2 linked regions of the Arabidopsis thaliana genome follow. The protein of the gene in region 1 interacts with the protein of each later gene in a pairwise test. Each region holds a gene or a part of one and is shown in the gene's direction. Other genes may lie near its edges. The genes, in order: RS31 and MOS14.

What was found.
Region 2: the proteins of RS31 (region 1) and MOS14 interact in a two-hybrid assay, tested with the Arabidopsis thaliana proteins (one study listed by BioGRID).

What each region holds. Positions count from the first base shown.
Region 1 is NC_003074.8:22,899,480-22,904,461, reverse strand, and holds RS31 (RNA-binding (RRM/RBD/RNP motifs) family protein), read left to right. Parts: upstream 1-2,066; 5' UTR 2,067-2,190; intron 2,191-2,281; 5' UTR 2,282-2,302; coding exon 2,303-2,408; intron 2,409-3,206; coding exon 3,207-3,319; intron 3,320-3,403; coding exon 3,404-3,633; intron 3,634-3,720; coding exon 3,721-4,035; intron 4,036-4,120; coding exon 4,121-4,151; 3' UTR 4,152-4,412; downstream 4,413-4,982. Other genes in the region: AT3G61870 (plant/protein), read right to left, coding at 567-745, 1,026-1,455, 1,551-1,760.
Region 2 is NC_003076.8:25,129,431-25,134,450, reverse strand, and holds the start of MOS14 (ARM repeat superfamily protein), read left to right. Parts: upstream 1-1,734; 5' UTR 1,735-1,977; coding exon 1,978-2,100; intron 2,101-2,670; coding exon 2,671-2,748; intron 2,749-2,839; coding exon 2,840-2,902; intron 2,903-3,128; coding exon 3,129-3,176; intron 3,177-3,263; coding exon 3,264-3,410; intron 3,411-3,889; coding exon 3,890-4,021; intron 4,022-4,411; coding exon 4,412-4,452; intron 4,453-4,734; coding exon 4,735-4,826; intron 4,827-5,020. Other genes in the region: AT5G62610 (basic helix-loop-helix (bHLH) DNA-binding superfamily protein), read left to right, coding at 1-150, 466-672, 755-820, 902-970, 1,042-1,119, 1,209-1,334. UniProt on the Arabidopsis thaliana protein: Functions as a nuclear import receptor for serine-arginine rich (SR) proteins. Regulates nuclear import of SR proteins that are required for proper splicing of the two resistance (R) genes SNC1 and RPS4, a crucial step for their functions in plant immunity.

The sequences.
Region 1 (4,982 bases):
TTTTTTTTATGGTGGAAACATCTTCACTGGTTGCTGAGAGGTTTTCATAATGACGCGACGCCATGTATGTTTCTCAATAAAAGTGATTGCAGCAAAAGATATGACTATTTTGTTTCCGCAATTTGTAGTCCAAGTGCAAACAAAACATGATTTACATGTAAACTGAAAATTGGCTTGATCAAGAATTATCGATAACCAATTTGGGCCTATCAACATAAATACCATTGTATCTATATACATGGGCCAAAATTGACAAAGTATATTATTTGATAGACATTTAAGATATAATAAATGTCAGTATTCTTTTTTTTTTTAGGTGAGACAAATGTCAGTAATCTACTAATCTTTGACACAATCATAGCGTATCCAATTTATATTTGACACAATCAGGTGAAAACAAAGGACTGGTAAAAGAGTATTATTGATCGTTTTTCCACCATTATTCCAATATCCACTCTAATTGCATGATTTTTACAATTCATCATCTACAAACCTCAAAAAAAGTTGAAGAATATTTGCATATATAGAGTCACAAACTCATAAATAACACATCCAAATATTAATATCTATGGCCATTTAGTGAACTCAAAGACCTTAAGAACGATATCAAGACCTGTTGGGATTTGCCAAATGAAAAGAAGAACATTTACTGCATTCAACGCTATATGTAGACTCCTCGCCGTATCGTTCCCTTTCTGCATTGCCGGCACCAATGCTGCCGCCGCCGCCCACAACACCGTTATTCCTGCCACCACCACCACCATGAACACAAAATGTGACACGTTTTGTACATCCAATAACAAATATAAACCACATTTTTTCTCATAGTTGTGATGAATGGTAACTTTTGAAATGGCACAATACTATTTATACCAATATAACTAAAATCCAAAGTTCTGATCAAAACTTAAACCACATCAGACCAAGCCAAAACCTGACTAAGCAACCCAAGATTACACACTTTGATAAATTAGAACCTAAAATCAAGGAAATGAAAAATAAGACGAGAGATAGGTTTAAGGTACCTGCACCGGCGTAAAGATGAGGACCGGGGAAGAGTTTACCAGTACGAAGATAAGTGTTAACACCACCAAAGACAGCTTCCAAAACACCGAAACCTAACAAAACAGAGCCAGCGTCAAAGTGTTTGTCTCTGTAAGACCCTTTGACCAACTCTTTCCTCTCTTCAGTTAGCCGTTGGATCTGAAGCTCAGTCGTAGAAGGAGGCGACGAAGAATCAACGGCTGTGGAACCATCAGGGGAAACAGGAGTTGGTTTAAGCTGTTTCTTGAGATCACTAATCTCACTCTGTATCGTACGGACACGTCTCCATTGCCAACCTAAGTAACCAGTCCAAAGAGTGTATGCAAATAAACCTCCCATCACAATTGGGTGTATCAACGCAAATGATCTCCCTTCTAATATTCCGAATTCTCCTCCAGCTGCTGCTGCATCCTTTTGAAATTGCAAAGAAAACAAGAATCTTGATCATCTGGTTATATTTGTAGAATGTGAAACTATTGGGGAAAGATGTGAAACTTTTTGATTACCTGTGGGTCGAGGAAGAAAGGCAATGCGATGACTGCGAGAGGGAGAGAGGATGATTTAAGGAGCTGAAGAGCGTTGGGAGTGGAGGGTATTTCTGGGGTTTTACATGGTTGTGATTTGGTGGTGATTGGTTTGAGAGAGTTTAGGGTTTTAGGGTGATGAGTGCGAGGAAGAAGATGGAGTGTGGAGAGACAATGAAGTGTGGTCGCCATACTCGCGATTCTTGGAACAGAGATTGTGGCAAAAAGAGTGAAGAAGAAACAATAGAGACATCCTAAACCGCAAAAATGATCGAACCAAAACAGATAAGAGAACTCCGTTGAATCTCCACGTGTCAGAAAACTGGACACTTACATAAACTTTAATTCTTTTCTTCTTCACCGACGGAAAATGGGTCTGTATATAAACATGTATAAATTTAATTCTATAAGAAAAGACTCCAACGAGTTCTTCGGTATGGGGCTAACTTATTGTGGGCCTATTTATAAAGAAGGCCCATTATGATTTTTGAATTTCCGAATGTACCCATGATGGTATGACGGGCTTTTTTAAGTCAACCAGGCTCTGCTTTTCTTCGATGAGCGTAGTAGTCGTCGTCGTCGTCTAGGGTTTGTTTTTCGTTTCTTCTCCGATTGTTCAGAGGTAACTTTTCTCCGATAATTATACTTGCTCATGTCCATATACCTTATTTTATCCCTTACATGTTACTAATTTCGAGTTATTGGATCGTTAGGAATTGCGAATTAAGATAAAGATGAGGCCAGTGTTCGTCGGCAATTTCGAGTATGAAACTCGCCAGTCGGATCTGGAACGGTTGTTCGACAAGTATGGGAGAGTCGACCGAGTGGACATGAAATCTGGTAAAGTGTCTTCTAAGTTATACGCCGGTGAAATTTTGTTGTTTGTCCGTCTCGAATTCGAATTCGTCTTCTGGTTGATAAATCATCTTTGCTTAGGTTTAGTTTCTGCTTGACCTAGGATTCTGGATACTTAGAACTAGTTCCAGTTTCATACATGATTTGAAGGTTTATATATAGTACCGTTACATAGAAAAGATTGGTTTTATTTTTCCCGAATGTGTTAAGTGTGGTAGGGGGTTTATGCAGTAGAGAGGATGGTTGTATTGAGTGTTTATTTGTTCGCAGGAACTTTTCTTCAAAGGAACAAGATTTGCCATCTTCTTCTTCTTCCTGCAAAATCATTTCTACATTTTCATACCTGCCTTTATCATCTTGTGCCTACCAATCTTCACTGACTCTAGAGAAACTTTGGAATTTGTCTGTCTATTACCAATCATCGATGCTTCAGATGGAAGTCTATTGAATCCATCATTGCCATGCCTTGCCTTCCATATCTGAACTCCTCCACTCAGAATGTTTAAGCATGCCTGGCAAATCACTCAGATTTTTTAATATAAAATTGGTGTTTTTAAAAATAAAAATCCTGAATTCCTGTGTTATGCTACAAATCTTGTTTTTCTACTACATCATGGAATGCCTCTACATCTCTCATATTCACCAGCCTTCACTTATATGAAGGTGTTGTATATCTATTTAGTTATTTTCTAGGGTAAACGAGATATGCAGCAGGTTAATGGACAGGAGGATTGTCACTCTTTGTGTTGCGTTTTGTAATCCTTGTGCTTTCTTTTGTTGCAGGATATGCTTTTGTGTACTTTGAGGATGAACGTGATGCTGAAGACGCTATTCGCAAACTCGACAATTTTCCTTTTGGATATGAGAAACGCAGGTTATCAGTTGAATGGGCAAAGGTATAAATTTTTTTCTGGTTTTTATTGAAGCTTGCACTATGCCGCATATTTAAGAAACCTTTTAAAGTTTCTTTCGGTTTTCAGGGTGAACGTGGCAGGCCTCGTGGTGACGCGAAAGCCCCTTCAAATCTGAAGCCTACAAAGACACTGTTTGTCATTAACTTTGACCCCATTAGAACAAAAGAGCACGACATTGAAAAACACTTTGAGCCCTATGGTAAGGTCACCAACGTGCGTATCAGACGCAACTTCTCATTTGTTCAGTTTGAAACACAAGAGGATGCTACAAAAGCCCTTGAAGCTACTCAAAGAAGGTAAAACAACACTTCTTCTAGTTACTTTTTCCGTCAAACTTTTAGTACATTTGCCTCTCTAAAAACATCCCCTTTTTGTTTCCTCAGCAAAATATTGGATAGGGTTGTTTCCGTGGAGTATGCGTTGAAAGATGACGATGAAAGAGATGATCGAAATGGTGGTCGTAGCCCGAGAAGGTCTCTTAGTCCTGTGTATCGTAGGCGTCCAAGTCCAGATTATGGCAGGCGTCCAAGCCCTGGTCAGGGTAGGCGTCCAAGTCCAGATTATGGTCGTGCTCGAAGCCCAGAATACGACAGATACAAAGGTCCAGCAGCTTATGAAAGACGGAGGAGTCCAGATTATGGACGAAGGAGTTCTGATTATGGTAGACAAAGGAGCCCTGGTTATGACCGATACAGAAGGTAAAAAAAAAAAAAAATGGCTTTGGCTTCTTACTGTTCACTCAAGTCCCATTGATGTTCTTATGTAATGTTTTTGATTGAACAGTCGTTCTCCAGTCCCAAGAGGAAGACCTTGATCAATGCAGAAAACAGAAGCTTCGAAGAATGAGTTTTTCGAAAGGGTAAATTTATCTATGTTGTGTTTTGAGTTAGAAGATGCTTTTTGATGTTTTGAAATCCTTGTTAACTTTGGGATCTTAGACTTTTATCTTAAAATCAGTAGAAACTTCATAATGGCGCTTTGTCACGATCTGTTACTTGGTTCATATACTCTTTTCATTCGTCATTAATTATTCTAAATCCCATATAAATTAACAATGACACAAGTTTGCCAGAAAATAAATCATTTTGATGCAACTTTTTTCCTATATGACAACGGAAGGAAATTGTCACTTTGTTTGAACAATTAATTACCTGCAAACAATTACTTTGAGGGCAACGCTTCCCATCAGGTGGGATAATTGGGCCGATAGGCCCAAAAACTCTCCGAAATTCTTTAGTCAAACGCTATGCCGTCGCTTCTAATAAACTTTTTTTTTTTTTTTGATAAACATTCTTATAATCTTTTGATTTTTGTGAAACTTGTGATCGAAAAGAAAGAAAAATTGTATAAGGTAAAATTGTAAAAAAAAGACAATTGAGAATCGAGGTGGAATTCTTTTTATAACTTTTCTATAATGATATTATTAACTAGTTAAAATATTTGTGAGACATGTCCTTTTATTCCTTCGATTTCTTTGGCCTGAAGATAAACAGCTTTGTATAATATTTTTATAAATATATAGTTGACTCCATCGATCCGTTGCATTATGTTTTCTTAATTGTTTTGAATAAAGCGACCATGCGCGCAGATAAATGTAGATTTCTTATAGACTAGGAGAATATCGCGTTTGATTTCATCTTGGATA
Region 2 (5,020 bases), on another chromosome or scaffold:
GAACATTCCGGCAATAAAGACGTCTCCGCGGCTGAGGAATCTACAGTCACCGATCTAACTGCTGGCTGGGGAAGTAGAAAGACTAGAGATTTGAACTCTGAGGATGATTCTTCAAAGATGGTTTCTTCCAGCAGCAGTGGTAATGAATTGGTGAGATTTTGCACTTCAATTTTTGAAAAGTCCTGATTTTTATTTGTTGGGTCTTTTGAATGTTTGAATCTAGATCCTTTAGCTTGGTGGTGATCTAAAAATCAATGAGTCAAAGTTTAAGTCTTTGGTTTAGGGATCAAGGATTAGTTTATAGATTAGATGACTTATCTCCATTGACTTTTTGACTTAAGTTGGATTCAGCTTGAAGACCATTAGTTTGATAGATGTTGGAATGGTCAATGCTTACTTAGTGATCTTAGATTGAGAGTTTGATTTAGGATCTTAAAGCTTTCCATCTGTTTACTTTTTTAATAGAAAGAATCAGGGGATAAGAAAAGAAAACTGTGTGGATCTGAAAGTGGAAATGGAGATGGTTCGATGAGACCTGAAGGCGAAACAAGTTCGGGTGGTGGTGGAAGCAAAGCAACGGAACAGAAGAACAAACCTGAGCCACCAAAGGATTATATTCATGTGAGAGCAAGAAGAGGACAAGCTACTGACCGGCATAGTTTAGCAGAGCGAGTAATTCTTCTGCTAAAATCACCATAAATTTTATCCTCAAAAACTGTTCCTTTTATTAGAATCACAATGTTGTCTTTGACAGGCTAGAAGAGAAAAGATCAGTGAGAAGATGACAGCTCTTCAAGATATAATTCCAGGATGTAATAAGGTACATGTTCTTTTGGTCCCTGCTTGTGAATGATGTTATTATAGCCTAAAAAACATTCAACAAGATATTTCTGTTGATCAGATAATCGGAAAAGCCCTTGTGCTCGATGAGATTATCAATTATATTCAGTCATTGCAGCGGCAAGTTGAGGTAAAAGTCGTTAACACCTCTCTGTTATATGTTACAATTATACATGCCTAAGCATGGAGTTTGGTCTGCAGTTTCTATCAATGAAGCTAGAAGTTGTTAACTCGGGTGCAAGTACTGGTCCGACAATAGGAGTTTTTCCTTCCGGTGATGTAAGTCCCAAATCTAAAAGAACATAGAAAAATCTTATCTTTCTTAATCAAAGCTACTAAATCTAAAAGCTCTTGGTGTGTTGTATCAGCTCGGGACTTTACCGATTGACGTTCATCGAACAATATACGAGCAACAAGAAGCTAATGAAACCCGAGTATCTCAACCGGAGTGGCTCCATATGCAGGTTGATGGGAACTTTAACCGAACCACATAAAAAAGAGTCTTTCTCTGATTGATGGATGTGTTTTGTAGGCAGTAAAAATGAATGCAACCCTTTATTTTTTATCCTATGCGTGTGTATCATTTTGCTGTTATATCATAAGATAGAATATGAGAGTGACCAGAGAGATTAACACTTTATAAAACATTGTTGTATTGTCCTATTATATAACTTGTAACAATTGATTCAGTAACATATGTTGGTCTTAAATCTTGTCCTTTGTATAATCTTTATGTTATGATGAATCAATGATACGTTTTTTTTGTTGTCTTCAATTTATTGCAACAACTGAAAAAAAGTAAACAACTTCTGTCTTCAAAATAAAAGAAGAAGGATTTGACTTTAAGTCAAAGTAATTGTATCTAACGGCTGAGATTCTCTCTTCTTCATCCTCTTTCAGATCAAAATTCGATCTCTATCTCTCTTCCTCACTCAAGTTGAGGGGCGCCAAAAAAAAACCTTTTTGACAAAGAGGGAAAAAAAAAGTTTTTATTTTTATTGTTTTTGTTGGGCGAAATCGATTTGACAAAATCCCGAATTTCAGTTGGGCAAATTCTTCTATTTCTCAATCTGGGTCTTTCTCTCTGGTCGTGATTTGGTGACCGTACGAGCGAATAACGCGTAAAGATTCATAGCTATGGAGCATCAGAACGCGGTCAAAGAAGCCCTAAACGCACTGTATCATCACCCGGATGATACAGTGCGTGTGCACGCTGATCGCTGGCTTCAGAACTTCCAAGGAACTCTCGATGCTTGGCAGGCGAGTTTTTTCTTTTCGATTTCAATTATTTAATCTCGATTTGTTTAGGTTCGATTTGTTCTTCCTTGTTTTGTAGCACTTGTGCTAGAGTTTAATGTTCGATTTTCAGCTACTGTAGACCATATAGGTGCATAAAGTTTCATCCTTTAGTCAATTTGTATTAGTGATTTGCTCTTTAAGGTCATATAGGCTTATGCATAGCAGAAATCTCAAAATTTCAGTACGTCTAAGTTCATTTCTGAGTTACTTTAGACTATATAAGTGCATAAATTTTCATCCTTTAGTCAATTTGTATTAGCGATTCGCTTGTTAAGGTCATATAGGCTTATGCATAGCAGAAATCTCGAATTTTCAGTACATCTAAGTTCAATTGTGCACTTTTTCCTGTAGCTGGTTTGAGAAGTATGTGTAAGGTGTGTGAATAGATTTACCTTGTTAGAGAAACGATTAGCTAGGTTTTATATGAGCTCTTTTCTTTTAGACCCATGATTGTTGTTGCGGAGAAGAGGATTTTTTTTGATGGAGAAGTTCTACAATATTTCTTACTCTGTGCTGTTGTATGTTTTCTAGGTTGCGGATAATTTACTTCATGATTCTTCTAGCAATTTGGAAACTTTGATATTCTGTTCTCAGACCCTTCGAAGCAAGGTAAATGCACCTGAATGTTTCTGTAAATCCTTATTCATTTATCACACAATCTTGGAGCATTCTGGTGACATCTAGTCTGTCTCACTCGAAGGTTCAACGAGATTTTGAAGAACTACCACCTGGGGCTTTTCAGAAGCTACGGCAATCATTAACGGTAATTCTTTGTTCTATTAACTATTTCTTCCAAAGTTGTAGGGTTTCATGAGTTATTCATTAGTATGTCTGTTCCTTTGAGCAATAACATAATAGGAAAACTCAGTTGAACTAGAGTATTCTGGGATCTAGGTTTTACTATGATTTCATCTTTCTGGCCTATTATTCTTGGTATTGGACAATTACTTCCCGGAAAATTTTGACTTTCATTATTTTCTCAAATGCAGACATTGTTAAAAAAGTTCCACAAGGGCCCTCCAAAAGTTAGGACCCAGGTAAGTGCATATGTGGAATTTTCTGTTGTGCGTATAAAGTCATGTACTTTGTGTCGAGTTATCTTATTTAAGTATTTTATATTGTAGATTAGCATTGCTGTTGCTGCCTTGGCGGTGCATGTTCCTGCGGCAGACTGGGGAGATGGTGGTATAATTAGCTGGCTTAGGGATGAGATGCATATGCATCCTGAATATGTGCCTGGTTTCTTGGAACTCTTGACAGTTTTGCCCGAGGTAGAGTATTTTTTATTCCTTTGTTTAAGTGTTCATCTCACTCAGTAATTAATTTGACTTCATGTATCCGGCTATATAGATATGAAAGGCCTTATTTTGGTCTGACTTGGATCTTCTTACTTATTATTTATGCTGGTATTACTGACCTCAAATTGGGTAGACCTATTTGGAGAATATTCTGTTCCTTTTTTACTTTTTCCATATCTATGTTTAGGTAGCATTCGACGTTACTCTGTGAGTGTTATTTCAATCCCTAAAGTATTGGCTGGGCAAGACCTTGATATTTTGTATGGTATTGTTTGCAAAAAATGTTGGTAGTTTATTTGTAACTAAATGAAGATTCTAATTTTTTCACAAATCTCTACCACATCGTTTGACCTTTCCCTTTCATTAACTTGATTCACTTTAGGAATGTTTAGCTTTAATCTAGATGGTTATATGATGTCTTGATCTTATATTGTCCTTCTTGCTATGACCAGGAAACATTTAACTACAAAATAGCTGCTCGTCCGGATCGACGACGTCAATTCGAAAAAGAGCTTACTTCTCAAATGGAAGCTGCACTTAGTATCTTATCAGCATGTTTGAAAATATCCGAACTTAAGGAACAGGTCAGAGCTTATCTTTAATATAGAGTCGTGACATAGTTCAGTACATAGTTTGTTATTCACTTTCCATGATCCCTCTGTATAACACATCAAAATAACCTTCTTCTTTTTATGTTTTCTGATGCATGTCTGTTTTTTTACTTTCCACTAGTTTTTACTTTCTTTACCAGTCAGAGTCTATGTTTGCCTTGTCAAAACATATTTGCTAGTTTTAGGTAAAAGCTTGATTACATCTTAGGTTTTCACTCACCTGCCAAAATTTAATATGTCTTCTTGCATTATTGTTAGCTTCTGAAAAATGTCCCATGTTCCTGTGTGTTGGACCAGCTAGTGTTTTTGGTGTTGCAAGAAGTCACTTATTGTCAATTGTGTTCTGTAATTTTGATTTTTCAGGTTCTCGAGGCATTTGCTTCTTGGCTCCGTCTTAGGCATGGGTATGCTCTTTTCTTTTGCTTTTCTATCTCCAGTTTTATTTAGAACAAAAGCTCGTCTAGATTACAAATATTCATTGCGAGTTCGTCAGGTTGTAAATTGTTTTAATATATGGGTCATAGATTTTGTCCTATATAGAATCATCTTAGACACAAAGCTAAGTTTATCTGATTTGTTGCTGTTGGTTTCTACTTGCTATCCTTCTTTATTTTCACCAATTCAACTTAGCAACGATGATACTGACTGAACTGTATACTGGTGAACTTTGGGGTGGTCTTTTTCAGGATTCCTGGAACAGTGCTTGCCTGTCATCCATTGGTGCATGCAGCTCTCTCAAGTTTGAACTGTGATCCACTATCAGAGGCATCTGTTAATGGTATACTAGTTGGAAAAGCTAATATATACATAGGCCTTTAGAGTCTTGGGATACTTCACATTGATATATTTTTCCCCGTAAATTGAAATATCTTTACTGAATAGAGACTATTTATGGATGAGTTATTTTGTGATATCTTCTGGTATTGGAACACTATGGGAGCTGCGAAATTTCTAGCATACCTGTTATCTCTT